4 linked regions of the Diceros bicornis minor genome follow. The protein of the gene in region 4 interacts with the protein of the main gene of each other region in a pairwise test. Links are inferred from orthologs where the notes say so. Each region holds a gene or a part of one and is shown on either strand. Other genes may lie near its edges.

Region 1 (7,268 bases), on a different chromosome or scaffold from region 4:
CTTGGCTGTAAACTGGGGAAAACGAGAGTACATTCCCCAGAGAGTTTTTATGAGGATTAAATGAGATAGGGAAACTGAGACGCAGCGAGCGGCTGAAGGGAACTCTCTCCTCTCTGTTCTCTCTCCAGCTATACAGACAGCATAAGACCACCCTCTCCACACGTCAGCAGGTGGAGATCTTCTGCTGCCCACACACCTTTCCGCATGTACACCTTACACATTCTCACCCCCACCTCCATTCTTCCTCCTGCTATCTCCTCTAACTGGAATGTCATTTCCTTCATCTCTATCTATGTAACTGCTACCCATCCTTCTAGGCTAATATGCCTCCACCTAATATGCTTCCCTGATCTAGAAGTGACCTCTTTGCCCCCTGGGTCTCCCCTGGGGTCTCCTATCACTTTCTGCCTTGGCCAATAGTCACCAGTGGCCCCACCTTACCCCTCCCCCCCAAGCCTGTGTTCTCCTTTTGGGCACGAGCTTCTCTTCTGCAACCCTGTGGGCATCAGAACCAGTGCAACACCCCTGCTCCCTACCTGTTCACTGGGCCGGCGACGCACGCCTGGAGGTGGCCCCAGGGCCCGGATGACTCCTGGCCGGGGCTGTGGGGGGCTGTACTGGGGGTAGGCCAGAGGCCTGGGGTAGCTGCTGGGTCCCAGGAAGTGAGGCTGCACCATCCACTGGAGCTCCTGGCTGCCACTCACAGCGTTGATGCTTGGCACGAAGTGGAACTTCTGAGGGATAAGAAATGGAGGGCCAGGGATGAGTTCTGTGTGGATGGAGGGGCTTCCAGTGGACAGAAGCCACACTGCCGTCCACCCTCAAGGCAGCTGCTGGTTCTGAGAGACCTGAAAGAGCCCAGTTTGGCAGTCAGCCTGACTGGGTGACAAATCCCTGCTCATGAGCTGTGTGACTTTGCGCAGGTCACATAACCACTCTGTGCCTCCATTTCCCCATCAGAGCTAATACTTACAGAGTGTCAATTCCAGGCACTGTCCCAACCACTTTACAAATACTGACTCATATAATTTGCACAACAGTATCATCGTTGTCAGACAGGAAAACAGTTGTCCATGGACACACAGCCAGTAAATGGAAAGCGGGGTTTGTGCCACAGGCAGCCGGGCTCTCACCCACTCCTGCACCCTGCCTGAGTCCCATCTGCACAGAGCATTACAGCTCCTAACCCTGAGGGTGGCTGTGAGAAACAGGAGAGAGAATGTATGTGACAGAGCCTGGGAAGTGGCAGATGCCCAGTGCACAAGGGCTGTGGTGGGCGAGAGCCATTGCTCTGGGTTCAAGCTGTCCCAGTTCTAATTTTAGCTCAGCCACTTACTGGCGGTGACTCTGGGCAGGTTATTTAACATCAACGTGCCTCAGTTTCCTCGTTTCTAATATTATCATAGATGAGGATTACAGCACTTCATTGATGCCAAGAAATACTCCTTAGTAGCTCTGAAATCACAGGTTAATTGTAACTGTAAAAAAATTTAGTGGTACAAAACAATGGTGGGCTTTTTAACCAAAGAGGTCTTAGATTCGGTGAAATCCAGTAAATGAGATGGAAACCGCCCAGCAGGACGCCTGGCTGCATTGTATGCGCTCCAAGGATTACCTGCCCCTGGGTTCAAGCCCCGGGGCTGGATCCTGGGTGTGGGCGCCCAGTAGTCCGGGAAGAGCCTCACAAGCCCAGGCAAGTCCAGACGGCGGTGTCCCTGGCCCAGCGCTGTGGGCCCAGTGGCCCGGTGACCCCAGTTCCGGGCCCGAGGCACCGCCGGCGGCATCTCCAGCTCCCGAGGTTGTCGGGGCCCGGGCCGCTCCGGGCCAGGAAGGGAGGGGCGCTCCGAGTGAGTCAGCCACCGTGACTCGGCCGCCGTGACTCGGCGGAACGGACGCCGCTCCTTCTCTCCCCTAGCGACACGTGCTCGCGGCCCCTCGGCAGGAAATGGGCACCTGCAGCCTCCCGGGTACCCCCCGCCGGCAGCGGGCGCCGTTCGGTGCCGAGAGTCGGGGGCGCGCGGGAGTTGCCCGCTGCATGTCCCCGCGCACGTCCCGGCACCTCCCGATCTCTATTGGCTCCATCCTGTAAAGCGTCAAGAACCCGTGTCCCAGAGCCCACCAGGCTGTACTGCGCCAAGAAGGGGATAGGGACTTGGCGACAGAGTAGAGAGGGACAAACAGACAGACACCGGACGATCACGGACAGCGCCGAGGATTCCCAGTCTGTGGAGCTAGCCTGCCGATGATCCCACCTCCCTCCTGCGTGGGGACCTCTCGGCCGCAGCCCAGACTCAGGTCCCGGGAATTTAGTCCGAGATGGATCAGACCCTGGGACCTTATCGGAGCTAGGACTAATCCCGACTAAGGGGCTCCCTCTGACGCAGATGCGCCGAAATATTAGCGGTGGCAGAAGGAAAGAAAGAAGGTAACAGAGACAGAGGGACAGTAAGTACACAGCAAGGGAAAAGGGGGCGAGGGAGAGAGGGGACGTTCGCAGATCCTTGTTCCGCCCGCCGCGCGCGTTCCCCCGGGCTGTGGGGGAAAGTGCCCCTGGACGGCGAAGAATGGGCAGGATCCTCGGCCGCAGCCCCCAGACCCGATCCCTACTCCGGTTGCCGGCCCCAGTCCCGGAGCGCGCGGGAGCGGACCGCAGCGTCACAGGCGCTGTCCACTCGCGGCCCCAGGCGTCGGGTCTCTCTCACCTGCTGGCCCGTCCCCGGGGGCTGCGCTGGGCCGCCGTACGCACCGCCGGCGGCGGAGCTCGGTCCGGGTTCCCCGAAGTCTCGGTACATGCCCTGGGCTGGCTGCTCCGTGGGGTCCGCGTCGGCGGCTTGGGTTCTGACTCACTCGCTCCTTGCGGAGTCCTTTCTTTTTATGAATGAAAAGTTCTCGGGCTGAACCACTCCGACTGGGGGGGTGGCGCGGGCGTTTCGCAGTGGCGCCGGTCACCTCGGGGCCCCACCTCTCCAGACGCGCCGCCTTTTGCCAGTCCGCCCCGAACTTCTGGACGCCTCCTCCAGTCCGGGAGCGGCCTTTTCGGGGGAAAGGGGAGGACTTGACGTCCCCCAGCGACAGCAGTGGGCCCGCCCCCTCTGACGTAGCTGCCCATACATGGTGCAATTTCCTCGCTGCACCCAGGTGGAGCCGAGGATTCCCCTGCGTATTTACGCACCTGTGAGCAGCCGGGCGCTCCGCCCAGTCCCTCTGTCCCGTCCCGCCCAGCCGCCGAGTGCAGACAGCGAGCCCGCAGCCCCACTCCCGGTCCGCACCCTGGAGCCCTCTCCTTGGGGTCTGGCCTCAGTTTCTGCATCTGTAAACTGGGACGAAATAATCACATAGCCACCCTGCCGCGCGTGGAAGGCTGGAATGTAGAATGTGCAAGAGGTCTGGAAACCGTAAAGTGGATCATAAATGTGATTGATATTATTATTATTATTTACTAGGTGCTTATTTCGTGCCAGGAACCATGTTACTGCCATCCAAGGTCTCACAGTCGTGGCGTGGGGCCCTTCCACTGGCATTGTTTTAAGGTTCAGGTATTCTAAAAAGTGAATAAGTGACACCAGAGTTACAAAAATGGAGGTATATTTTAAATGCTTACAATGAATAAGTTAATGCTTCGAGGTACGCACAAATACAATACCGTGTAATTGTGCTGCTCACAGGATAGTTTGAGGAGCTATAACAAGTTTTAATTCAGAGCTCACGTAAGCAGTGAGAGCCTGCAGTGGGACACAGGTGTCCTGTGGTCTGATAAACGCCGTCTTCTTTAAATACTGTCACTGCCCTTCCGGGCAGTGTGGTCAGCAGTCTTGTTTGGAGATTACATCCAAGGTCTGTGTGAATGTGAGGCCAGGGCCAAAGGTCAACAACCAAAGGCCAACAAGCCTGGGAGGTAGGTGCCGTCATCATCGTTATTTTACAGATGGGGAAACTGATGCCGAGAGGTGTGGAAATGCAGTGCCTAAAATCACTCAGCGAGTGGCTGAAGCAGGTTGCCAAATCAGAGCTGTGGGAGCCCCAAGCCCAGGCTCAGGCAAGATTTGTCAAGCCCTCACAGACGCCTTTTCACACATGCCGAGTGTCAGTGCTGTGAGGACCACCCCAAAGCTTCTTCTCCTCTTCCTCCCATTCTACAGATAAGGAAACTAAGGCCCAGCGAGAGTAAGGAGCTGCCGGCGTCACAGGACTACAGAAAGAGACATGGGCTCCCTGCTTTCCGTTAGTGCCTCCATTTGATCAGTTCCAGTTTTGTCCTCGGGGAAGGAAGATTTCAGGGAGGCAGGGTCCTGGGTGGCCTTCCCTGGGGACCAAGGCCGGGGGTCTGTGGGCACACTCAGGACTTAGAGCCAGAAGGCCAGGTTGGCCCTGGGCTTCTAGTCCCAGAGCTACCATTTCTGTCTCTGTGACCTGGGTGGGTTGCCTTCCCTCTGAGTCCCAGGCTCACTGTGCATAATTGAGCCTCCCACTGACCTCATGGGGCTGCTGTAGGATCGAATGAGGTCACAGATATGAAAGTGCTTTGTAAGCTGTAAAGTGCTGTGCACTCAGAGGGTGGTTACAGCCTCTCCCTTGCCTTTGTTTGACTTAATGCTTGTCTTTCTCTAAAAAGAAATGAAACCAACAGCAGTTTACCAGAATGAGAAATATAGGGGTGTGTGTGTGAGAGAGAGAGGGAGATTTTTTGAGGCAGTGTGACACATGGAAAAGATCACGCGTGCTGGAATCAGACAAGTCTGGGTTCTGAGTTTGAATTCTGGGTAGGCTGCTCACCAGCTGTGTGACCTAGATGAGGCACACAATCTCCCAGGGCCTCTGTTTCCTCATCTGTAAAATGGAGACATAATGTTAACGACATCTCAGGGTTGTTGGAGAATAGAAATAAAATAATGTCACAGGCTAAGTACAGTGTATAGTAAGAACGTGACAAAGAGAGAAAATAAATACACATGTTAATAAAAAGCCCCACGAGTGGGGGCAGTTGGGGCTCTGATCGCACGCTAAGGCACTCGTGCAGCGCGCACACACACACACACACACACTCACACCCGCTAACTGATATCTGAACTCCTTGGCTGAGCCCAAGCTGGACAGGTCAGAGTGACACAGGCGGCCAGGTGGTGGCACATGTGAGGCCTGACACGAGTCAGCCTTGACTGCATCATCTGCGTGTTCCAGAAACACCACCCTGCCCTACTCCCCAAGCAGCCTGGGCAGTGACTGAGCAGGGGCTCAGGTCTCAATGTGTGTGTGTGTGTGTGTGTGTGTGTGATTACACGACTCTGAAAGTCCCTTCCTGCTCTAACCGTCAGTGGAGCCACAAGGAGGTCCTTTCAGAGGCAGCACATTCCAAGCTCCTCAGTCACTAACTCCCGCCTGGTGGCTACAGAAACGTTCCTGGCCCCTGACCTCACCAGCTCCCACCCTGGGAGGCCAGGAGGCCACAGTGATTGCGGGAGCCTGGGGGCTGGGATGTCTCAGAGACCCTGGCTCTGTCGCTTGGCAGCCCTGTGAGCCTGGCTCAGTCACTTTCCCTCTCTGACCCCCAGAGCATCCCCAGCTCTTGGGGCTGCAGGGTGGCAAAAGGAGGCCATAGACAAGTGTGCTTTGCACCCAGTACGTTCTGTCAGTGCCCCCAGAGTGGTGGAGGTGATGTTTATGCTTTTCAGTTCCCATTCACTTTTTAATTGAAGTTTATTTATTTTTAAAATTGAGTGAAATTCACACAACATGCAATTAACCATTTTAAATGGAATTTTGTGCATTCACAATGTTGTGCAACCACCACTTCTCTCTAGTTTCAAAACTTTTTTACCATCCCATAAAAAAACCCCATACCCATTAAGTAATCACTCCCCATTCTTCCCTCCTCCCATCCCCTGGTAACCTCTAATCTGCTTTCCTAATCTATGGATTTACCTATTCTGGACATTTCATATAAATGGAATCATGCAACATGTGATCTTTTGTGTCTTGTTTCTGTCACTTAGTATAATGTTTTCCAAGCTCATCCATGTTGTAGCATGTATCAATACTTTGTTCCTTTTTATGGCTGAATAATATTCTATTATATATATATACCATGATTCATTTATTTATCCATAAATTTGATGGACTTTGTGTTGTTTCCACTTTTTGGCTATTTGCTGCTATGGACATTTGTGTAGAAGCTTTTATGTGGACATATGTTTCCATTTTTCTTGGGTACATGCCTAAGAGTAGAATAGCTGGGTCATATGGTAACTCTCTGTTTAACCTTGTGAGGAACTGCCAGACTGTTTTACAAAGTGTTACCATTTTACATTCCTGCTAGCAGTATATGAGTGTATGAGGGTTCTAATTTCTTCACACCCTTGCCAACACTTATTATTTTCCTAGAGGGTGTGATGTGGTATCTCATTGTCTTTTGGTTTGCATTTCCTTAATCATGTTCCTTAATGATCAATGAACATCTTTTCATGTGCTTGTTGGCCATTTATGTATATATTTTTGACAAATGTCTATTCAAGTCCTTTGCCCATTTTCAATTGGATTGTTTGGCTTTTGTTGTTGTTGTTGAATTATATTAGTTCTTTATATATTCTGGCTACCAATCCCTTACCAGATATATGATTTGCAGATATTTTCTCCTTCTGTAGGTTGTCTTTTCACATTCTTCATAATATCCTTTGATGTATAAAGTTTTAAAAGGTTTTAAGAAGTCCAGTTTATCTATTTTTTCTTTTGTTGCTCATGCTTCCAGTGTCAGATCTAAGAATCCATTGCCATATTCGAGCTCATGAAGATTTACCTTTATGTTTTCTTCTAATAGTTTTATCATTTTGGTTCTTATATTTAGGTTGTTGGCTAAATTGAAGTTTAACATACGTACAGTAAAGTGCACTCATCCAGCATGTTCAGCTCAATGACTTTTTACATATATGTAAACCCATGCTCCACCCTACCGCCCTCATCAAGATAGAGCACATTTCCAGCAGCTCAGAAGGCTCTTTGTGCCCCCTCCTGGTCACGACCTCCTACCCGTAGGTAACCACTATTCTGCCTTCTAGCATCATAGATTCGTCTTGCCTGTTCCTGAACTTCATATAAATGGAACCACGCAGAGTGTGCTCTTTTGGGTCTGGCTTCTTTTACTCAACGTGTCTGATGGATTCATCTACATTGTTGGGTGCAGCAGTGACTTGGTCTTTTCTCTTGCTGTGTAGCATTCCACTGCATGAATATTCCACAATCGCTCTCTCCGTTCTCCTGCTGGTGACACTGGGGGC
Region 2 (8,012 bases), on a different chromosome or scaffold from region 4:
TGTATCCGATTTTATTTTACAATAACAACGTAAGAACTAAAAATCTACTGTGTGCTTAACTGTATGTTAGGTATTGCTCTACACTCTTGACACATATTAACGCACTCCATTCTCCCAACAACTGTGAAAGATGATTCTCATCTCTGTTTTACAGATAAGGAGACTGAAATATAGAGATTAAGTTACAACAAATATATGAAAAGAAACTCAATCTCGCCAGTAATCAAGGAAATACAAATTCAGTCAAGACACCATTTTCCCAGCTTTCAATAGGCACAAATCTGCAAGTCGGATAATGTCACTGCAGGTGACTGTGGAGAAGACTAGGGACTAGGAAACATACATCACATGAAAACAGAAAATTTGCACACACTCTCCACGCTGGCTACACACTAGGGAAATTCTCGTCAGTTACAAAAGAAGACAGTATTAGGATGTTCACAGCACACTGTAACAAATAAAAATTGGAAAACATCAGAAAGGGACAGAGTGAGTAAAATGTGGTATATTCACATGAAAGAAGATAACACAGCAGTGAAAATGAATGAAACAGTTCTATAAACATCAACCCGGCGGTCTCTCACAAACACGCTTAGCGGAAACAGCAAGGTGCAGGACGAACTGCCGTATGACACCACTTAGACAACAAAGCACAGACATGTACCACTTACAGACACACGTATGCCTGTAAAGAACTAACACACGCTAGAGAGATACACACCCAAGTGTGACAATGACAGCCTCCCGGGACAGAGAGGGGACTGCAGCAGAGAGTGGTCAAAGAGTGCTTCAACATTGTCTATTTTATTGTATTTTTAAAAATCTAAACCAAATGCAAGTAAATAACTTAGCAGTGCTGAGTAATGCGAGGTGGGTGTGTGTAGGATGTGTCGGTGGGGCCTAAAGCTGACAGCGCAAATCACGGCGAGTGGGGATGTCTCAGAGCCAGACTGCTGGGGCCCCAGCTCCGCCCCTCGGAACCATGCACCCTGAGTGGTGGCAGGCCACCTCGTGGGGACACTAGACACAGTCCATACTGTGACACTCGAGGAAAGTGCCTGTCCCAGAGGAAGCAGCACATGGACATGCCAGCTCTCACCACCACAGGGGACATCACATGTGGACGTGCCCCCCAGAGACTAGGGAAAAAAGGATAGAAACATTACGTCTCTTACTTAACATGTGTACTGGGGACAGGCTGTGTCTCCTCTGAAAGCTCTCCAAGTCCCCTCATGATCTACGTGCTAACCTGTATGTGTGCTGTTCTTTAATAAAACTTACAAAGAAAGAAGGAAGGAAGGGAGACGTACCAGATAAGACTTGGGACCCTGCAAAAGTCTATAAGGAAATAACACGACCAAAGAGCTAGAGACAGTTACCCTGGACTATTGGCTAAAAAAGAGAATTATCTACTAGAAATTTCAGTCAATATTCCTTCTCAAGACAAAGCACGAAGGAGCAAAATCAAAGTCGCGCCCTGAGAAAAAGAAGACACCGTCACAGGGGCCGTGGAAACGTCAGCAGGGACGGGGCACTGCGGTTCCCTCTGTCGGGCGCAACGGCGACACGGAGATGACCTTTTTATGACGTCCTTGTCAGTTAGATTAGGGGTGCATTCTTAACTATTTATAGGTGAAAAAACTAGCAACTTCCAGAATTCGCTTTAAAGTAGTCCAAGGAAAAAAAACCAAGGCAGGAGGACAGACGGGAGGAGACGGCCGGCAAGGACGGCGCGGGCGGCCGCGCTCCCTAACCTCGCGCGGGCGAGTTTCCACGACGGACGGACACTGCAGAGGTCTCACCGCGAAGAAGGTGCCTCCTTCCCGACTGACCCGAGGGAACCCAGGGAGACACAGACCACAGACCAGGACACGCCGCGAGCCCGCCCGCCCGCCCGCCGGCCCGCGCTCACCTGCAGCTCTCCTGGAAGCGGCACTTGCCCTCCAGGAAGAACGGGCAGGGCTTCAGGGCGCGGTGCGTGGGGTAGAGATAGAGCACGCGCACGCCCGCGCAGCCGCCGGCCGCCGCCTCCGCGCCCACCACCATGGCGTGGTGGTACTCCAGGGTGCCCCAGGGGCTGCGGTAGGGCGCGCTCACCTTCCGCCCGCTCAGCCCGCCGGCCTCCCCGCCGGCCTCCTCCGGCCCGGCCTCTCTCTCGGGGACAGGCTCCGATTCTGCCCCCGGGGCTCCCGGCGCCTCCACGGCCTCGGCCACCGCCGTCTGGAAGGCCAGGTACTCGGCCTCGTCCCGGGCCGCGTGCTCGCCGTCCAGCGCGGCCAGCAGCTTGCTCTTCCTGACGGACACCAGGCTGGCCTCCGTGAGCGCGATCAGCTCCTTGAGGTCCTGCTGCAGCTGGCGCAGGTCGGCCAGCTCGGAGGCGTCCAGGCCGGCGCGCAGGGCCCGCTCCACCTGCCGCAGCTGCGCGCCGTGGGCCTGCAGGGCGGCCTGCAGGCTGTCCTCGTCCATCCCGGGGGCGCCCGGTCCTCGGGGGGCGGCTCGGTCGTCGGGGGAGGCGGCCCGGGACCTCGGGGGATGGCTTGGTCCTCGGGGGATGGCTTGGTCCTTGGGGGTCGGCCCGGATCCTGGGGGTCGGCCCGGATCCTCCGGAGGCGGCGCTGCGGGGAGAGAAGCCGGTGAGCCGGCGGAGCTTGAGCCGACGGGCGCGGGGCCCCCAGGCCACCCTCAGGGCCGCCCGCGGTCCCGCCGCAGGGACGAGAAGACAGGCGGGGAACGGCTCTCGGCTCCAAGCGGAAGAGCCACAGCCGGAGCCCGGCCGCGGCCCCACGCCGCGTCTGCCCGCCCGGGGCGCCGCCGCCGGGCTCCCTCGGTCCTCCGCGCCCCCGCCAGGCCATAGAGAGCCCGCCGCCTCACCGGCTAGAGCGGCCCGGCGTCCCGCTTCCGCCCTCGCCGCCAACGCGCACTTCCTGCCGAGCGCGGCCGCCACCGGAAGTGCCTGCGTGGGGGCTGCCGGGACAGCAGGCCCGTGTCCCGTCGGGCGCCGCGCGGGGTCAGCGGTCCGCGGGCTCAGGCGCGGCGGCCGGCGGGCGTAGGTAGACGGGCAGGTTCTTCGCCTCCCGGGCGGGTCCGAGGTCGCGGCGAGGACCGGCGGCCGATCCGGAGCAGCTCTCGGCGGCCGGCCGGCGGGCCCCGAAGGCCGGTGTCCGGTCGGGGCGTCGGGAGGCGGGGCCCCGGGCGGGGCGGCTTGTCCCCATCTGCCCGCCCCAGGCCGCCCCCTACACGCACCCGGCTCCCGGAGGCGGGCGTCCGGGGTTCCCGCTGTTTCCCGGGCTCCGGCCGGGCGGGCAGGGGTGGCTCGTCCTTGCGGGCCGGAGTGGGAGCGCCCGGGGGGCTCGGGAGGGCGTGGGGCCTTGACCGGCCTGAGGCTCGGGGAGCGGAGGGAGGCCCGGCGGTGACTGGGGAGGAGGAGCGCCCTGGGGCGAGGACACCAGCCGGCGGTCCGGAGGGATGGAGAGAGTTACGGGGAAGAGGGCAGAGTGGGGAGACCGAAGAGGGACGGGCGGCGGGAGGAGTCGGGAGTGCTCCGGACCAGATCTGGGCTGTCAGCAGGCAGGGCAGGCGGGCGCCGGTCGGAGCGTCGTGACTGGTCTCTCGCGGTGCCCAGGGCAGGATGTACACGCTGCTGTCGGGCCTGTACAAGTACATGTTTCAGAAGGACGAGTACTGCATCCTGATCTTGGGTCTGGACAATGCCGGGAAGACGGTGCGTGCTTGCGCTCCCTCTCCGTTTGGTTTGTGCCTTTACTAGTATGCCCACCACCTGGACAGAATCCAAACCCCATTTAAGGCCGCGGGATGGTCACCACAAGCTGCTTTAAAAGCAAAACGTTGTTGTGTTTTGTTTTGTTTTAAAGGAATGGGTTAAGGAAAGACATTAGCAAAACAGACTTGAAAACATCTCTAGTCCTTATCTAATGCCTCTTTCCTGCTCCGCAGACCTTTCTGGAGCAGTCAAAAACCCGGTTCAACAAGAACTACAAGGGGATGAGTCTATCCAAAATCACCACCACCGTGGGTCTAAACAGTAAGGGGATCCCTTAGGGCTGTGGGTTTGGGGGGCAGACCCCTCAGGATGCTGTGACGTCCTCAGGCCAGTAGGCAGGCAGCAGAGCCTTGTGTGTGAGGCCTCTGCTCCAGCTCTGTCGGCTGGTCCTCGAGGAGCACCAGAGTGGCCTCTGCCCCCGGAGAGCTGGGAGATGGTGTGTCAGGGACCAAGGCCACAGCCTTGCCTGTTTTCTTCTCCCAGTTGGCACTGTGGATGTGGGAAAGGCTCGCCTCCTGTTCTGGGACTTAGGGGGGCAGGAAGAGCTGCAGTCTCTGTGGGACAAGGTAAGATAGATGCCGCGTACCGCCTGCCCCTTGTGCCATTTCTGCCCAGGTGGCACCCCTGGGCTTTTTCCTCTCCTCAGAAAGCCTCAGGCTCACCTTCCTTCCCTCCTGTCAGCAGCCGCCATCACCCACTTTGTTCCTGAGCACCCCCCCAGTCCTATCCCAGTTCCCGCACTCCTCCCCCAGCAGTGAGGACACACTTGGTTCATTTTGGCTTAGAGATTGTCGTTGCTACTCACCCCAGGACGAGACAAAAGATGGCCAAGAAACAGATGTAGGGAAGGCACCACACCTGCAGTACTCGGCCCCACCAGCAGGGCCTGCGTCTCCCCCGCTGGGTCCCTCTCCTTCAATCCTAGCTTAGGACCTGTACTCCGTGGTGGTCTCTTCCCCATCCGGGAGGATGTCCTCAGAGACCCACAGCAACTGCATCCTCTTTTGATATAAGTTTCGGGCATTTCTGAGACCCCAGTGTGGTGCTCCTCCCCCCAAACCTCAAGACTGGAGTCTGTCTCCAGCTCAGCCTGTGCCCAACACTGGGGTCTAGCGGTGAATGGGACAGACCTAGCTCCTTCCCTAGGCAGCCCTGTCCCAATGGATTGGCATGGTGGGTTTGGTGCAGACATGCCCGCCCCAGTACTTGTTGGTTGCCTATGTGTTTAGAACTGAGTGCCTTGGTTCTCATTTCTGGTTTGACTCTAGCAGTAGGTACCCAGTCACCTTTTCCAAAGCATTTTCTCTTGCTCTGATTTCTAGCCAAGAGAGCAGCTTCCATTCTGTTGCCAAAAGGTGACTGACAGGCTCCCTGTGGCCATTTAAGTTGGACTGAGGAAGAGCCAAGCCTACTGTCCGAACCCCAGACCCGTGTGGGGAGTGAAACAGATTCCACCATTGTGTCACAGGCAAGGGTCTCAAGAGCAGGTGCTGAGACGGAGGTTGGGGTGCAGGGTTCGTGTTGGTGACCAGCACCTGGGAAGGGAGCCAAGAGGACATGGGACTAGGCAGGGGGAGGGGTCAGCTCGGGTGCTGGGGCCAGAGGGACTGTGGCTGGCCCAGTGGGGAGCCCTGGAGGAAAACTGCTCACAGCTGCCCACTGTCAGGCCAAGCTGGCTGGGACTCCATACTGCCTGGGGGGTCACCATGGTGGGCTGCCCTGGGCAGCTGTGATCTGGTAAGGAGGCTCTCTGTGGATCAAAGTGGGTCCTGCAGGAGCCAAGTAGAGACAGATCACTGGGTACACTGCCTGCCACTGGGCAGCAAGGCTGCAGCAGGTGGCAGGTTCTTGTGTTGGCCACCACCCACTGTGCTACGCTTGCATCCATGCCCTTGCCTTGGGGAGCAGTTCCTCCAAGATTGGGGCTTCCTCCTGAGGGGAAGCTGGAAGAGGGAGGAGAGGGACAAGCCACACCACAGGCCAGCTTTGCAGCTGGTTGTGGCCCCCTGCACTGCTACTTCTGCCTGTGCCATGGTTTCATCATGAGGGGCTGAGCCCTGACTGCTGAGGTCGCCTTCTCTGGTGGTCCCCTGGGTTCCTCATGTGCTCTCTGGCTTGCTGTGGAGTGGGCGCCCCACCTCCTGCTGATGGGGTCAGTTACCTCCTGCCAGAGAGGGGTCTCCGCTGGGCCCTGGACACGGGTTGTCCAGTGTGCCCAGGAGGCAGCCAGGGGTTGTGACTCAGCAGGTCTCCTGCCATGCACCTGGTGAGCGTGCTGACCACACCCCCAGCCCTGTAGAGCCCAGAGCTGGGAAGGAGCAGTGGAGTCCCCTGTGGGTCACTGGGGGGATGGGAAGTGGAGTTCTTACTCCCCTCCCCGTTCCCCGATGCTGCGTCCTGGGCCCTGGCCCCCATGTGGTCCAGCACCGCAGCACTGTATTGGGCCAGTCGAGTCATTTTGTCCCCGGCAGATGTCTGGTGGACCTTCACTCCCCATGTCCACTGCTCCATGTCTGCCCTAGACCTTCATCTAGGCTGTGTGCTGCTGCCTATGGGTCTGTGTGCATGCTAGCCTTGGGCCGCGTCTGCCCACACAAGCGGGACCAGGGGGACCACTGGCGCTCTGCCGCGGGGAGGACTTCTGTTCTGTTCCTCTAGGCCACACCTAAGAGACCTTTGGTGTGGGCCCACCCAGAAGCCAAGCTTGAGCCCTTCCCTCTTTCTGCTGGTTGTGTGGGATCCCCCCACGTGGCCACACGTGATGCAGCCATCAGGGTCTGGAGCGTGGCGAGTGCTGTGGGGCCAGAGCAGCCTGCTGTGCCCCTGGGCTTGTTCACACTGAGCCCCAGGTGTGCTCTCCTGTCGCTGCCACCACTGCTGGATCATCACCTGACATCCACTGGGTATGGTGGCAGCTCCAGCATCCGTCTGCCAGGGCCCAGCTGCATGCCAGAAGTCCTCTGCCACTCCCTGGGGCCCCAGGGGCTGCCTGGTGATTGTCTCACTGGGCTTGCTGCCACGGAGACCTCCGCTGTAGGGCCTGCCAGCTCCCTGTGTCAGCCCCAAGACGGCCAGCCCACTGTCCTCACCTTGCCTAGTATGTAGGCTGGAGAAGTTTTTGTGTGCGGGACTGATGGCCTGCAGGACCCAGGAGGGCTGCGTTGGGTTTCTCTTTTGTAGCAAATGCATATACAAGAGCTTGTCTTGTGCTGGGGTCGGGGTAGCCTGCTCACTATACCCTAAGAATTGTCCAGAGCTGCCAGGCCTGGGTCTCCCCGGGTGTCTCCCACCCCCTGGAACACATGCATCACCAGGGCCTTCAGCTCGCTGACCGCTGGCTAGTCCTGCCCAGCTAGTGGAACGGCCTTGCCGTAGGAGTCAATGTGGATGTTCCAGGTCCCTGGGGTCTTGTGACAGGCAGGAGAGCTGGGGCAGAGTGGCGAAGGTGCTCCTGAATGCGGGTGCTTCCGGTGGTCTGATTAGGATAGAGGGTGGACTCGCCAGACCTGTGGCTGCATCCCTCATGCCCCGCGCCCAGTGGGTCTGTCCCTCATATGTCCCCACTTTGTGTATCTATCTTTTCTGAGGGGTGCTATGTTCCATTTTGTCCCCTAGCTGTCCCCAGGCTCTGGTGGTTAACTGTTGTAGGGGATCCTGTGACACTTGCTGTCAGCAAGCCCAGGGCTGACTGCCCTCCTGGCACCAGTCTGGCCTGCAGAGCTCTGAGCTTAGTGATGCTGGTTTGGTCTTTGGCCCTGCCATTCTGTGTAGGGGCCAGAGCTGCTGCTGGTGTGGAGCTGGCCTCAGCCCTCAGTGGTCTTTCCAGGGCTTGTCAGTGACACACTTGCCAGGCTTGCTGTCTGTGCCAGCACAAGTCCCCATCAGTGCATTCTCTCCAACTCCAGGTCTGCAGAGGGATGGGCTTGGTCTGGGCTCCTCCAGCCCCCAAGCCCCATCTTTCCTTTCTGGCCACCAGCAGGCGGTGGTCATGGGTGGTTCTCAGGAGCAGACGCTGAAGTGGGGTTGGTGTGCGGCAGCGGGAAGTGGGGGGGAGGTGGCCACTCCCCACCCGAGGTCAGCAAGCCCTTCCTGACGGGGTGTGGGGGCGCATCTCCACTCCACCCACCTTCCCACCCTCAGAAGGGTCTTCTAGTCAGGAGTGCCCCTGAGGCGGCTGAGTGCCCATGGCTCAGCACCCCCTCTCTGCCCTCCCCAGTACTACGCAGAGTGC
Region 3 (7,792 bases), on a different chromosome or scaffold from region 4:
GCAAGAAGTGAGTCCAACTAAGTCAAGTCTTTCCAAAGGCACTAAACCTGGTTTTCAACGACCTCAAAGGCACTGTAGAGAACTCCTTTGAGTAAAACCAACAATAAGCAGTCGTCTTCTTTTTTTTTTTTTTTCCAAATATATCTATTACTCACACTCCTAGAGCACTTTCAGGGCTAAGTATGGAAAGAGGTCTTTCCCCACCAGAATGTATGAAACAGACTAACAACCCTACAGCCTGTAGGGTAGCAGCTGTTCCACTGACTGACTCTTCTTTGTCTCTAGGAACTAATTCCAGGCAGAGAGAAGTTACCATCCCTGATGAAGCCACTACTCTCTGAATCAGTTAAACCCACTCGACATGACCAAACCGCTGGGCAAAACCAGAGCAACTAACTTCGAAGTTGAAAAACATTTCAACAGGCTCAAGGCAGCAACCCACACTTGGGTGCCAGGCAGATGAAGCACCGTTTATTTTAAAAGGTCCACTTATTTCAGTGTCTCTTCAACAAAGGTGGCAAACTGGTGATTAAACATTGAATAATTACATCAGGAAGATGCCACCCACTTGCTAAACCTATGATTCACTAATAAGCAGGTTCTATGCGATTCATAAATTTAAAGAATGATTTACCAAAGCCCTTTGCTTCACAAATTCCCCCCCGAAACGTAAAGAGCATTCATCATATATAAACCGACAACCATTTTCACTTTGGAAGACTACAGACGGTCTCTCTTCCTCTCAAGACAGTCCCCCCCCACACGCAATCTCACATTTAATCATTTACATTACCAGAGACAGACTCCACCTCAGTTCCACCAACTGAGTGAAAAGTCCTTGTAGCTAGGAACGTCTTAATTGTTTTTCCAAATAAAATGTCCTTTTAAAAACGCAAAAGTACTCATCATGCTGGTCTTTTACTATCTTCAGCACCCAATTAAATCACCAACGAGATAAAAGGTAGAAACTCCCGGAATGCTTCAGAGATCAACATGTGTCACGGACTCCCAGCTTGTTCGCCTCTAAGACACAGTTGATTCCTTTGTTCCTTCAGACTGAACACCAACTCTTGATTAAAATTTGGAAACTACTTTGGAAAGGATGGGAGGGTTTGCAGAATCTTTCCAGGGAAACCCTTCGTAAAACAATATCCACTAATAGTAAGAAGGATACAGAAGTAAGAGGAGAGAAAAGAAGCCTCCCAGGACCTCCACGGGACTCACCCGAAACGTGAGGCGGGTTTCTGGCTCAGGGGTAAAGTGATGGTTGAGGCCTCGGGTCCTGGGAGCCTCGCCCTCGGAGGGGAAGGACAAGTACCGACGGCCCGGGCCTGGGGGTCTGGGGTGGGCAGCGCGGCCCCTTTCCCTATTCACTTTTCCTGGCCCCGAGTCCGGCGAGCACGGCGCAGGGAGGCACTCGGGCGAGAGGCGGGGAGCTGCGCCCGGCGCCGCCCAGGACGCCCCGGGCAGCAGGAGCGAGAGCTGCGCGGCGAGCAGCGCCCGGGACTCGGGGCCCAGGGGCAGCCGAGCGGGGCGCGCCCCCGGCCCGGCCACCCGTGCCCAGCCGGCTCAGGGGACACGCCGCTCGGCACAGGGGCGGCACGGACGGGCCGGTGAGCCCGCGGCTAACTCCACAACTTGGCCGCCCCGCTGGCCGGGCCCCCGAGTTCCCGGGGAGATTCGGCCCCGGCTGGAGAGGCGCGATCTCCCCGGAAACGGTTCCTCCCGGCCGCCGAGGCCACCCCGCCGTCCGCGATCGCTCCCGCCGCCCCGACGCCCCCGCGGCCCTGCCCGCCAACGCCAGCGCCGCCGCGGGCCGCGCTCCGGGCCGTTTCCGGCGGCGCCGCCGCGGCCGCTCCCCGGAGCCCCCCGGCCGCGGCCGCCACTCACCCGAGGCCGCCGCGGCTCCGAGCCCCGGGCTCCGCGAGGCTCCCTCCGCGAAGGCGCCGCGCCGCCCCGTCCTCCCTCGGCGCCCCGGCCGGCTCTCCCCGCGCGCAGCAGCGCTGCCGGGCGCAGCGGCGGACGCAAGGCCACGGGCGGGCGCGCGCGGGCGGGCGCGGGGCCGGCTCGTCCCTCCGCCGCGGCCGCCGCCTCCTCCGCCGCCGCCGCCGCCTCCCGAGTTCGGGGCTCTGCTGCAATGTCTGCGAGGCTGACTTTGAGCGCCTCGCTCGCCGCCTGCCCGCAGCCGCGCTCCTCCCTCCGCCGCCGAGGCCGCCGCGGCCCAGTCCCTCCCCTCGCCGCTCCACGCCATTCAGCTGTTCAGCCAAGTTTCTTAACCCTTTTTTTCCCCTCCCGCCCATTGTCACCCGGGCCGCAGGCAGCCGCTCGGGGCCGGGCAGCTCGCGGGAGCTGAGCGGTCCCCTCGGTTTTGTGCTTATCCTCCTTGCCCGCCCTCCGGAGGGCCGGCGGGGGCTGCCGGGCCCCGGGCAGCGGAGGATCGCGTGGGCCGGGAGAGGTGGGGGCCCCTCGCGCCCGAGCCGGCCCCCTCCGCTCCGGCTCTGTCCAGCCGCCCCCGAAGCGCCTGGACAGCTCCTCCCGGAGGCCCGGGGCATCGTTCTGGCCACACGGGCCAAAGGCTCCTCTCGGGGACACAGCCTGGGGGCCGGGACGCCCCGGGTCCCCGCCTGGGTGCTGCCCTCCTCCCATGTCACCCCACACCACGCGCCCCTGGGCTCCCTCCCACCCACCCCCAATTTCCACCACCTTGTGATCTGTGTGTCCTGCTTTAATCCTGGGGGGCACAGGCACTAACTTCAGGTCACTCTGACTCCACGCCCAGCACGTAGTAGGCACCCAGGAATGAATGTGGAGTGACTCCAGAGGCAAACTGGGCAGGAGACCTGAGGAGTGCCCGGGGCAGCTCCTTGGACGGACGTAGGACCCAGGAGCAGGGTTTATCGTCAGCTGCTTTGTCACTGCGAAGTCACCAGCGGAGTCTGTCAGCGAATCTACATCATCCCTGGGAAGAATTTGACCCTACAAGACGAGGCAAAAAGAACAGGGCTGCCACTTCTTCGGCAGCTCTCTTCAGTTCAGTCTCCAGATAAGAAATAACAATTACATCACGAGGCCAGGGAGGCAGCGCTGTGGAGCCTCTCGGTTTCCTGCAGCCGAATCTCGCTGAACCCGCGTCTTAATTGGGGGGGACATGGATTGGTGAAGCAAGAGAGTGGAGGGAGGAGAGAGTCAGACGAAAAAGAATTTCCCCCTTCTCTTTGTATTTGCTGTTTTAAAATCTTATCCTCAACGCTGCCCAAACATCTAACTAGAACTATTAACACCCCTTCAACACCTCCCCAGATGTCAGGTTTCTTTTTGACTCCAGCGTCTAGCGTTTAGTAACTCGCCATGAAAAAATTACCAGGGGAAATGAGTGCCGTTGCTGAAATTGTTTTTGCTCGATATGAGAATGCTCAAGTACAGCTTAGCCTCACCCTAAACTCCGAAATGGTATGCCTGTGTTAAAACACTTATTACACAAAACAAATGAGTGGATGAGGCACTCCATTCTTATATGTAGGTTTTCATAGCCTTAAGAATTCGATAGCATTTGAAAATAGAGTTGCTAGTGCACTTAAAAAAAAAAAAAAAAAACCTATCCAAGTCATAAAACAGTATTCTATGCTTGTTATGTAATGGCTATCTTGTGCACTTAAAATTTCGTTTAACCTTTAAAAATATGAAGGAGAGTTTTGGAATACCTTCATAGTCTTAAAAGTGAAAGCCTTTTTTCAAATTAATGCTTAATAAATCTAGCACCTAGCACAGTCCTGGGCACATGGTAGGAATATTTTGCTTAATGATGATGGTGCATTTTAGAACAATTATTTTACATCACCCTAGTAATTCAACTGTGTGATCTGTTGCCATCTTATATAGTTTAAACTTCATGCGATGGCTTATTATTTGCATATACCACAGTTTGAAATCTGCTTAAGGCAACTTAGTAAAGTCTGCTGTTCTATATTGCATCATTTATCCAATATTGGATAAATGAGAGAACTGTTCCAGTTAGGTGATGATCAGCATAATTGGAGTATGGCCCTTTACGCAGTCAAACTTCTTTTTTAAAAAACTATTTTTGACTGTTACATGAAGATTTTCTAAAATGTATTATACATGTTTCTGTTTTCTTAAGTAGTTTATTGGACTTCGTTTGGCTTTTTCTTGAAAAGTCAGGGTTAATTTTATTAAAAGTATTTGTTGTTGTAGGTTGTAGTGGATTCAACAAATGCATCGACTTCCTGTTCTCTATCAGGCTTCTTCCTAGGTGTTAGGGACGCGCCCAGGAGGTATATAAGCCATCAATTGCTGCACTGATGGATTCCAGGATACTATGGCTTAGTGATTATCTCTGCCTTTTGTAGTTTCTCTCTCTCCCCCTTCACTAGCTGACAATCTGTTGTCCTTCCTCTGTTGCCAGCTTGCTTGCTTCTAATATTCTCCTCCTCCTCTGATTGGCAGCTTCTAGTCTGGTGCAGACTGGGAATGGGAATCCAGATAGCCTCACTTGTCACAATTCAGTCTAATGTAAGGGATTGATGTGCTCACCAAGGAGTAAGGCACATGAACCTTAATGCATAGATTTTGGGACCGATATTTGGACTACTCAAATGTTGCTTTGAAAAGCATTCTTTTTACTTCTTAACTGGGTTTGGATCATTGAGGTTGATAGATAACCTCCTGAAAAGTGAGGTACACAGTTAACCCAGCAAGCTGAGTATTGGTCCTACTCTCCAACACTAGTGTTAACAAGTCCACTGCCGTATGTTAGATGACTTAACAAAGCTGCTCACCTCTTATTATTAATCTATCTTCTCAACCCCACGGAAAGCCAATTGTTAAAATCCTGAACTCTTTTTGATAGTGCATTAGTGTTGAGTAAATTGCACACCTTTTGTAGAATTCATTTTTACTTAATGATGCTAATTGTGTTGGGGCTATTTTGTTGTTGTTCATTGTTTTTAAAAAATCAATACCTAAACTTCCTGGCTAAGAGAGTCATTGCAAGGATACTGGGGCATGTATGTAATATAAGAATGCCTATTAAGTAATTTGTATTTTGTACACAACTCCCGCTTTAACCAATTGTGATGCGAAAAAAGATGCCCTTCAGGTTATAAAGTTAAACGAAAGTATTTTTATAAAGCCAGAGTCCCTATGGGATCAGAGACTTATAGTTCAGGCTCAATATGTTTATCCACCACAAAGATGTAGTCTGAGAAAGGTATGCTTATGGTGTGCTCCCTGAATCTCTCCCATTATAGCATTTTTCCACTGGGTGTTTACTTGTCTGTATCCCACTCTAAATGCAAGCACTACAGACACAGAATCCATGTCCCTCTGGTTTGCATTTGGGTACCTCCACCGCCTACCCCTGTGCTCAGCAAACAGTAGGCATTTGGAGGATATCAGGCAAGATACTGTCATAGCGCAGAGGACAGAGTGTTTATTTCTACTTAGGGTGTGGGTGTGGGATGAGGGAGTTCAGAGAAAATTTTACAGGGAAAATAATGTCTCAGCTGGCTATTAAAAGGTAAGAAGAATTTGCCAAGTAGGCAAAGTGGGAATGGAGTTCTAATGGAAGGAAAAAGACTGTTTAGCAGTAAAGAGGTGTGAAGAAAACAAAAATGTACATTGAGAAGTATCAAACCCACATTATACACTATGAACTAGTGACTAATGAATTACGACAGCTGACAAAAATATATTCAGGTGGAACACCAGTGTAGTTATGCTGTTACAGTCCCTTAGTCTCGAGAGAAGTGCTGTCCAATAAAAATATATAAAGCGAGCCACAAACGTGAGCTACATATGTGCTTTTAAATTTTCTAGTAGCCACATTTAAAAAATAAAAAGAAACGGGTAAAATTAATTGTTATAATATACTTTCTTTAACCCAATATATCAAAATGTTATCATTTCAATGTGTACATAACATAAAAATTATTTATTAGATATTTTACATTCTTTTATTCACACTAAGTTTTCAAACTTCAGTGTGGTTTTACACTCATTGCACATAGATCTGGACTAGTCAAATTCAGATGCTCAATGCCCACGTGTGGCTAATGGCTGCCATATTGGACAGCACAGCTCAAGAGGACAGACGAAATCTTTTATAGTATAGTTAAAGGAGATTTTCTTACATTGAAAATCTAAATCTTGTTAAATTTAAGATTTTATTTGTGTTGATTACTTGTGTTTAGCTATACTATGTTGATATAGACCACTTTCTTGTGTCTCGGCTTTTATGCCAATTAGAGAATCAGCAAAGTTTACATTTTATGTACTGTGTCTTCATTAACCACACTGTAGTTACAGCTACTCCTATCTCTATTAACTCTGGTGGTGGACTGTAAACATAAACCGGCTTTATGGCGGAAATACAACACTATAAATTTGGAGTTGAATAAGCTTCAAGAAAGTCTTCCCTGGAACACCGAACTACCTCTATGCTAGTTACTGTCAAGCTTCTTCCTGGCTCTAGCAGCCCAGGGTTTTGCTCTTCAATTCTTCCATGCCCAGTTACTTGTGGACTATAAAATCCACCCCAGCCTTTGTTTGAGGCAGTACCTGCCTGAAGCTGCAGTGATAAGGATGTGCTGCAGCTCCCTGAGTACTGAGGAAGGTCTCAAGAGCTAAAATGAAGATGTTTAGACACCGTGTCTGCCGGTTACTGTGCAGTTTTCCCTAATGAGATTGGAGCCCTTTTACTTTCAATGGGGCTTGAGTGCCAAGGACTGACAAAACCAGGGCACTCAATTGCTACACTAAAATGAATCCTGAAAACTGGATCTTAAAGAAAAAGTCTGAAAATGATTGCATACACACAGCTGAAAGTGTGCAAGAAAAAGGCAATACTTCAGTGAAATGCAAATGTGGACGATGCCTTCTCATTCCCCAAAGAAAGAAATGTCCAGTATAGTTAGGGGGTCCAAAAAGCCAAGAAATCCCAACGAGGCTAAGGAGAACCTGTCAGTTTGGTGATGGGTCAGTTTAATATGTCTATACAATTGAAAGTAAATATTACATGGAATCCTATCCTTTTATGTAGAAATGGGTTATGTGGCTCTCACTAAGCAGTCCTTTCATAAATGAATATAAAATTTCTTTTTGTGATTTCACAAGCATACACCCCTATAAGAAATCAATTGGATAAAATATGATCCTATTAATTTTTAGAGATTTTATTCAGATAACCTTCAACTAAAGCAAAGCATATATCTGTTTTTCCAAATTATTCAGGGTTCTGTAGGGAAGTAAGCTATAAAGAAAACATGATGTATGTTTACCATTTGTGCAATTGTTTGAACCTCAAAAGAAATAGACATAGACTCTGACCCTGACATATCTGTTTTATATTTGTTTAGTTTAAGAAACATAAAATTCTTATATACTTTATCTTTTCACAAAACCGAACTAAAATTACCTTCACCCTCAAATACACACACACACACACACTCACACATACATACTCCTAAGATTTCACACAATTCAATGGGGAAAAAATAGTCTTTTCAGCAAATGGTGCTGGGGCAATTGATTATCCACATGGAAGAGAATGAAATTTGACCCCTTATTTGTACCATACACAAAAATTAACTCAAAATGGATCATAGACCTAAATGTAAGAACTAAACTATAAAACTCTTAGAAGGAAATATAGCAATGAATCTTCATGATCTTGGTTAGGCAAAGCCTTCTTAGATATGACACCAAAATCACAAGTGACAAAAGGAAAAAGAGGTATATTGGACTTAAATTAAAATTTTTTGTTTCAATGGACACT
Region 4 (7,558 bases):
TATCTAGCTTTCAGCTCTTCCTCACCACATTCCCACATCCATCTCGTTTGGGCCTCAACCTCCTTTGCTAAGTAATATCCACCCCTGTCCCTACTCTCCAGAAACAACTTTCCCAGACCTGAGAAATGACTCCTGCCCCGGACTTTGCCTATTACCAAGTAAACTGGCTTTCTATCTGAGTTCACGTCAGATCCCAAAGAGTAAATGAGGTCTTGTCATGCTCTCATTTCCACTCTCCCTCAGCCTGCTCTGCTCCTCTTCACCCCTGACATTTTCCTACTAAAGCTAAGCTCATAGCAAGAGACCTGCCTCCCAAGCAAGACTTCAGTTCCCAGGGCTGGGAGTAATAGCCCATGTCTACTGAGTGCTCACCATATAGCAGAGACAGTTCTAAATACCTTATGGACGTGATCTGTGAGGTGACCAGTATGATGACTAGTATCTCATTTAATCCACAGTGAGGTTTACCAGTACAAATAAAAGAATACCCAGCCTCAAAAGGTCTTAAACAATAAAGAAATTTATTGTCTAAATTAGAGGTCGTAAGGTAGGGCTGCCTCCAGGCATGGTACAATGAGGACATTAGCAGATATAGATGAGAATGAAAACTCTGAACTCCTCAAATCCTCCTGAACGTGCCTGGCTGGCAGAGGGAGCCCCCACAAATCCCCCAACCAAGCTTCTCTGATTTAACATTTCAATGACTTAACCTGGAGTAATGGCCTCACAGAGGTATGCGCATTATTCTCAGCACCCACCCCACTCTCTCAATGCCTCTGAGCCCTCTTGGGCCACAGAGATCTCAGCATAGCCCAGATAGCAGTACAAGGTCTAGTTCAGGAGATAGCCAGGCATAGTGCCAACTTCCATAGGCAGGAACCTGGGGCATATGTATGGGTGCGGATTCTAAGGGTGTCTTCCCAAGGAGGATGAAATGTTAAGATTCTATTTATTACCGGTGCACTTACCAAGGAACCAGGATTTAATTTTAGCTCGAGCCTGAAAGGGGCATTAAAACAATGTGCTACGTTGTTAACTGCAGCCTGAACTTAAAAGTACTCCACAGGCAATAAGAATTAAGGCACAGAACCTCCCTGGCAGTGTTAAGGAAGGAACCCAAAGGCTCAGGAAGATAGGAATATTGTATGTGTCCAGATTTATGCCTGTTGTCCCAGTCTAATTATTAATAGTGTCACTTTCACTCTCAAAAGTGTCCCAGTTTGGGATGGTGTGCCACCTGCTCAGTCACCCCTTACCCATGTCACCCAGGAGGCTCCAGAGAACACTCCCTTCGCCAGGGCTTTAAGAAATGCCTTGGTGAGGGGAGCACCAGAATCCCAATAAAGTCCTGTGGTAGATGTCCTCTGTAGCCTAGAGATGACAGTGGGGAATACTGGCATTGAACTAACTTCCCTGATCTCAGTGGGAACAATGGGAGTCAGAGTGAGAGAGGTAGTGGCCAATGATGGCATTTAACCATTAAAAGACACTCCTTTCTTTTTTGAGTAGTGCTTGATATTTATTGAAAAGAACAAGTGCTTTTTCCAGGTAGTATTGAGGAGCTGGGCCGAGTGCCTGTTCTTGTTTGTTTTTAGTATTTTTGTCCAAATGCACACATCTGTGGGACTGCTGCAATTTTGGAAAAAAAATAACAGCTGTGCAAAACGGGTGCCTAGGAGAAAAGAAATGTCAACAATTTGGCTGCCAGGCACACTAGGCCCCTGCAGCAATTTGGTGGGGCAAGGGAGGACTCTGGGAGCAGGTAGGGAACTAACCAGGCTGCAAGACTGGCCCTTTAAAGGTTGGTGAGCTGTACAAATCATTGTCCGAGGAGGTGTAGCCAACTCAGGCATCTTCTAGGTTGACTCTTATCTCCAAAGGTGGTGGTCTGTCACTGGAATGTGATGGACGACGGTGAAGTGGCAGCTTTAAGTCTCTGGGCAGATGTAGGCCTGGCAGTTTGGCAGGGCTGTGCGCAGTCTGACCAGTTTGTAACAGGGTCCTGCCCTAAAGCTGGGGCTCAGGACACAGTCCAAATTAGCAGCGGAGGGTCCTGGGGCTGGCCAGACTGGGTGGCGGCGCGCTTCAGAGCGAGGCCCCAGCTCCAGCAGCAGGTAACTGGAGCACTCACTATTCCTGGAACAAAGACAAGCACTACGAGGGAGGCGGGGGATGAGGAAGAGAATGGGAGGGCAGGGGTAGGAAAGGGGATAGGAGGGCGAGGGGGAGCGCGGCGGCTCCGGACAGGGCAGGAGGGCGCGCGGGGGAGGGGAGCGGCGTGCAGGGCCCTCCCACCTAGGCCCGAGGGTCTCGGGGCCTAGTAATCATCATCTTCGTCGTCGTCTTCTTCATCGTCATCCCAGCCAAAACACTGTTTCATCTCATCGAGGAAGGCCCGGTAATCACCTAGGATGGGGCTATCCATCTCAATGTACGGCACCACCCACTCCTCGGCTTCCCCGGTGAGCAGGCTGATTAGGAATGCCACCTTCATGGCGTCGTTGCAGAATCGGTTCTCGTTGACAAGCATGTAAGACGCCGTCTGCACGATAAACTCAGGGAGCCGGGAGCTCTCGCCGTTAAACGTTTCAGGGAAGGGCACCGGGCAACTCGGCGGACGTACCTGGCGCAGCAGGGTGGCCCTCTCGCACACCAGCAGCCGCAGCTGTTCCATGAGCTGGCTGTTCTCGATGCTCAGGGCGCGGTGCCGCATCAGGAGCGCGTGCAGCAGCAGCACCAGCTCGTCCACCATGGCGAACGGCTTGGAAGGGCAAGGCTGAGCTCGGCTCGGTTCGGCTCGGCTAAGGTGCGCACAGAGGCCTCGCAGGAAGTGCGTGTCCGCGGAGGAGCGCGGTGGCCAGGGACGGAGGGCAGTGCGCGCAGGAGACCCGGCGGCTGCGCAAGCTCCGCCCACAAAGCCGCACGGTCGGCCGGCGCGCCGCCGCGGCCCGGGGGAGGTGAGGGGGCGTGGCCAGGGAAGCTGCCGGCGCGGCGTGGGGGCGTAGCCAGGGTGGGGCAGGCGGGGCCGCGGAGACGTGACCGGGGGGGCGGGGCCAGGGAAGCGGCGGGCAGGGTCTCGGGGCGGGTCATGGTTCTCAAGGCCCGCGGATAAAGGCAAGGGACCCCGACCGAGCCCTGGATGTGGGTGCGGCGTTCGTTAGCCTGGACCGCGGGCGCGCTAAGACCTGTGTCAGAGCGGGCCAACCTGCGTAAGTTTAAAGGATTAACCACCGTTCAACCCAGCCGACTCACACAATACAGTGTTCCTTGCCGGGTCTGTGGCCAGTACATTTCATTTACGTGAAGTTTTGTTAACACATTTCCTTGCTTATTTAAATCTCGTTCACCCAGAGAGCTGTTAAGCACTGCTGGCCGCACCGCGGGAGTCACACATCCTTTCAGAGTTATGAAAGACCGTCAGAGGTCCTGTCTTTCATGAGAAAACAATATTTAAACAGGAATTTGACTTTAGTTGGGAAATAATATTGTATACCTCTATCCTTTTTTAGAAATGTGTCTAAATAACGAAATATAAATAGTTCTTTAAAATCATCCGATAACTATTTGCAGGCATCCTGCCTATCTTTGATTCTCTATTTCATGTCCTAGTATTAGTGTCCCTTGGCCACTGGGTATTATTCTTTGCTTAACAATGAAGACTTGTGTTTTTAAATGGTTTTGTGTTTCTACTTCCTGATTATTCAAATAGTTGTTGACAACTGAGTTGGATCCAGGACCCTAGAGCCAACATAATCTGTTGGCTCTGCTTTTAAAATATGTCCCCAATTCAATCACTTCTTGTCACTTCTACCACTACCTCCCTGATCCCAGCCTTCCTTTCTCACCCAGACTGCTGCAACTAATCACTTAACTTTCACTCTTCCCTTCCCGCAGTGTGTGTGTGTGTGTGTGTGTGTGTGTGTGTGTATATATATTCTCCACAGAGTAGGCATAGTAATCCTTTAGAACAAAAGTTAGATCTCTTCACTGCCTTGCTCAAAATCCTCCAACAGTTTTCCTCTCTTGCTCAAAATAAAAAGCAAAATCTTGGTTATGGCATATAAGGCCCTGCCTCATCTCCTAGGCCTCTTCCTGTTCCCTGCTCTGTTCCAATCACATTGTCCTTGTGGGAGATCAAGATTTGGCCATCCTGAAATATATCTCTTTACCTTGATTGTTTTCTCTGAGGGACATTTGACCTCCCCACTAACTGCCTAAAGAATTTGACATAGTGGCTCCTTCCTGGAACAGATCTATCATGATGGCTGTAAAGATAATGTAGGATAGAGGTTACAATAGAAAAGGCACCAACAAGCCCATCTTATCAGAAGTTCTGTCTCTCTGGCCACATTCTCTGGATGGCCCTGCTAGGAGTTGCCAGACAATCATTTACATTTATAAGGGAAATCTCCATTTGTAAGGGTATCTCCCTCTCTGTTTTGGGAAGAGGGGGGATGACCTCATTTCTAGAGGCTTATCAATGTGGAAGGTGAGGCCTTAAATCTGCATAATAACCTTACTCTTGTTTACTGTGCTTTAGTGGTAATCTCCTGTAACTGACTCCCCCCACCCCCACATCCTCCTTTGTCGTTGGCTGAACATGGTATTTAAGACGAGAATTTCTGCTATTGTGTTGAGAAACGCAGTGTCCCTGCTTTCTCCCATGTATACATGTTATTAAACTTGGTATTATTTTCTCCTGCTAACCTGTCTTGTTAATTATTTGGCCAGCCATAAGAACCTTAACGAAAAGGGCAGAGGGGGATTCTCCCTCTTCCCCCACATCCTCCTTGCTGATTCTCATACATTTCAAGTAGCTCTGGCCTCAGGAACTTTGCACTTTCTACCCTTTCTGTCTTACAAAGCTCCCTCCCCAGTTAGCTGCCTAACTCCTTCTCGCACTGTTTTCAGAGAGGACTTTCCTGACCACCTCATCTATCAGAGCACCCGGTTATCTGCCAGTAGTCTCTAACCCCTTACCCTGCTTCATTTCTCTACATAGCATGTATCATGCTGGGAGCCATCATATATAGCACTGTGTTTGTCAGTCTGCCTCCACTTGAGAATGTAAGTCAATGTGGACAGAGACTTTACTTTGTTAGCTGCTCTATCCCTGATGTCTAGAAAAGTGTCTGGCCCAGAGTAGAAGCACCATAAATGTTTGGTTTATGAAAGAATCTCAGAGTGCAGATGTTCAAATAAAAATTAGAAATGGTAGCTGCATAAAGTGTCCAAAAATATTCTTCAAATTGTCCAATATGTTCTATCTCTGATCATGAATCAGTCTCCATTGTGAAACGATGAGTGATGTAACAAAAATGGCAAAATAAATTTTTTTTAAAACCCTATTCTGGGCTGGCCCCATGGCTTAGCGGTTAAGTGCACATGCTCCGCTACTGGCGGCCCGGTTCAGATCCCGGGCGCGCACCGACGCACCGCTTCTCCGGCCATGCCGAGGCCACGTGCCACATACAGCAACTAGAAGGATGTGCAACTATGACATACAACTATCTACTGGGGCTTTGGGGGAAAAAAGGAGGAGGATTGGCAATAGATGTTAGCTCAGAACCGGTCTTCCTCAGCAAAAAGAGGAGGATTAGAATGGATGTTAGCTCAGGGCTGGTCTTCCTCACACACACACAAAAAAAACCCTATTCAGTCCTTTTACAATAGAATTGAATGGGCACCCATGGAAGTGAGAGGCTGAGAGAGAGGAGGGAAACAGGGCCAAGACCAAGTAAGGAGAGGAGGAGGGATCACACTGCTCAGAGGGTGTGCAGGGAAAAGAGCAGGTAGGGGGGAATATGAGCCCGTGGACTTTCCAGTGATATGAGCTTCCCCCATTAGATGAGAAGCCCCTTGAGGCCACGCAGGGACACTCTCTCGTTCATCCTTTCATCTTCAGCATCAGAAAGTGTTTATAGGTGTTCCATAAATGTTCAGTGGATGGAATGACGGTACAGGAAATGTCAGAGGTAGGTTTCTGGCCATCCTGCCCATTCAAAGCTCAGGGTGGAGGGTAGACCTGCCTGGCACAGCGGTCAGTGTCCAGCTCCACTTTCCATGTCTAGACCCTAATACAGGAAGAGATGCCCAGGGTTCTACTCCCAGGAGCACACATCCTGTGGCAGGCACTGGATTTGGTGATTGACATGGGCTGCCTCATTGACCCTCCCACAGAACATGCATGAGGATGAGCACTCTAGGAGCCTGAGACCCAGGAGTTAAAGACTTGCCTAAACCCAGGAGAGCAATACTACAATATGTTGGTGGTGCAGTACCACAGTCTCAGCTTCTCTGATGGCACATGCACTTCCACTGAACAACTATTATGCACTGGACTTCCGTGAATCAGGAAGATCTAGTGGGGACCCAGAGATGGTTAGGCCCATGGTGCCCTAGTCCTCTTCCTACAATCCCATGACAGGGGGAGTCAGGGAGGAAACCATAGGAAGCAACCGCTAGCATCACCTCTCAGGGGGTTCTGAGTTCCTAAAAAACAAGAAATGCCCTGGCCAGAACTGTGTACAGAGCTGAGCAGTGACTTTGGGAGGCACTTCCAAACTTGGAGGGAGGGAGGAGAGACAGAGGGACGAGAGACTCACGGGGAAGCAGTTGGGAAGAGGTGAGTAGTATGACTAAAGTATATACAGTGGTCCCCCCTTATCCGCAGATTCGCTTTCCGCGGTTTCAGTTACCCACAGTCAACCGCCATCTGGAAGCAGATGATCTTCCTTCTGCTGTATTGCCTAACACTACGTTACAATGCCTACGACATTCACCTCACCTCATCTCATCAGGTAAGCATTTTATCATCTCACATCATCACAAGAGGAAGAAGGGTGAGTACAGTACAATAAGATATTTTGAGAGAGAGAGAAACCACATTCACATGATTTTTATTACAGTATATTATTATAATTGCTCTATTTTATTATTAGTTATTGTTGTTAATCTCTTACTGTGCCTTATAAATTCAACTTTATCGTAGGTATGTATGTATAGGAAAAAACATAGTATATGTAAGGTTCAGTACAATCCACAGTTTCAGGCATCTACTGGGGGTCCTGGAAAGTATCCCCCATGGATAAGGGGAGACTACTGTAGAACTGTACTGTCCACATTAGCCAGCTTCCCGGTGCCCATGAGGCTCTCCCACCAATGTCAATGCCTGCCAGCGCTTCCTTCACCCTTGCTTCTCCATTCACCCTGCTTAGGGCTGCACGTCATCTTCCTTACTTTCCCTTACACCCGTGTAAGACGCTGCGGGCAGAGGCAGATGGCTCTGCATGACTTATCTCAGGCTCAGAAACTTCATCAGGACAGCTTTGGCACAGAATGTCCCAAGGGTGGTTTGAACCCCACTATTTGGCAAGAGCATGGGCCCAAAGCCAATGGAGTGATACCTGATGCTTATTGCTTCCACCATCTTCCATGCTTCAAACCCTGACCTGGTATACACCTAGCAGTCAGACTGTAAAATTCCTCTGAAATAAACATGAAAACGTCGGCCCCTTGATTCTTCAGTCTCCAGAGGAATGTGTACAAATTGGGTAAA

Evidence for each region.
Region 1: the proteins of LDOC1 (region 4) and FOSL1 interact in binary tests that used the Homo sapiens proteins (3 or more experiments, as listed by UniProt). The two-hybrid records come from large-scale screens. The link is inferred for Diceros bicornis minor from reciprocal best matches to the Homo sapiens genes LDOC1 and FOSL1.
Region 2: the proteins of LDOC1 (region 4) and ZGPAT interact in binary tests that used the Homo sapiens proteins (3 or more experiments, as listed by UniProt). The two-hybrid records come from large-scale screens. The link is inferred for Diceros bicornis minor from reciprocal best matches to the Homo sapiens genes LDOC1 and ZGPAT.
Region 3: the proteins of LDOC1 (region 4) and NRIP1 interact in binary tests that used the Homo sapiens proteins (3 or more experiments, as listed by UniProt). The two-hybrid records come from large-scale screens. The link is inferred for Diceros bicornis minor from reciprocal best matches to the Homo sapiens genes LDOC1 and NRIP1.

Annotation. Positions count from the first base shown.
Region 1 is NC_080770.1:7,381,745-7,389,012, reverse strand, and holds the start of FOSL1 (fos-related antigen 1), read right to left. Parts: upstream 3,001-7,268; 5' UTR 2,793-3,000; coding exon 2,703-2,792; intron 2,446-2,702; exon of another isoform or gene 2,029-2,445; intron 735-2,028; coding exon 537-734; intron 1-536.
Region 2 is NC_080758.1:499,957-507,968, forward strand, and holds the start of ZGPAT (zinc finger CCCH-type with G patch domain-containing protein), read right to left. Parts: upstream 3,018-8,012; 5' UTR 2,872-3,017; intron 2,616-2,871; 5' UTR 2,467-2,615; coding exon 1,913-2,466; intron 1-1,912. Other genes in the region: ARFRP1 (ADP-ribosylation factor-related protein 1), read left to right, coding at 3,466-3,721, 3,955-4,042, 4,265-4,347. UniProt on the Homo sapiens protein: Transcription repressor that specifically binds the 5'-GGAG[GA]A[GA]A-3' consensus sequence. Represses transcription by recruiting the chromatin multiprotein complex NuRD to target promoters.
Region 3 is NC_080766.1:17,395,410-17,403,201, forward strand, and holds the start of NRIP1 (nuclear receptor-interacting protein 1), read right to left. Parts: upstream 3,002-7,792; 5' UTR 2,704-3,001; intron 2,163-2,703; exon of another isoform or gene 1,891-2,162; intron 1,873-1,890; exon of another isoform or gene 1,225-1,872; intron 1-1,224. UniProt on the Homo sapiens protein: Modulates transcriptional activation by steroid receptors such as NR3C1, NR3C2 and ESR1. Also modulates transcriptional repression by nuclear hormone receptors.
Region 4 is NC_080781.1:128,281,376-128,288,933, reverse strand, and holds LDOC1 (protein LDOC1), read right to left. Parts: upstream 2,886-7,558; 5' UTR 2,753-2,885; coding exon 2,318-2,752; 3' UTR 1,776-2,317; intron 1,673-1,775; 3' UTR 503-1,672; downstream 1-502. UniProt on the Homo sapiens protein: May have an important role in the development and/or progression of some cancers.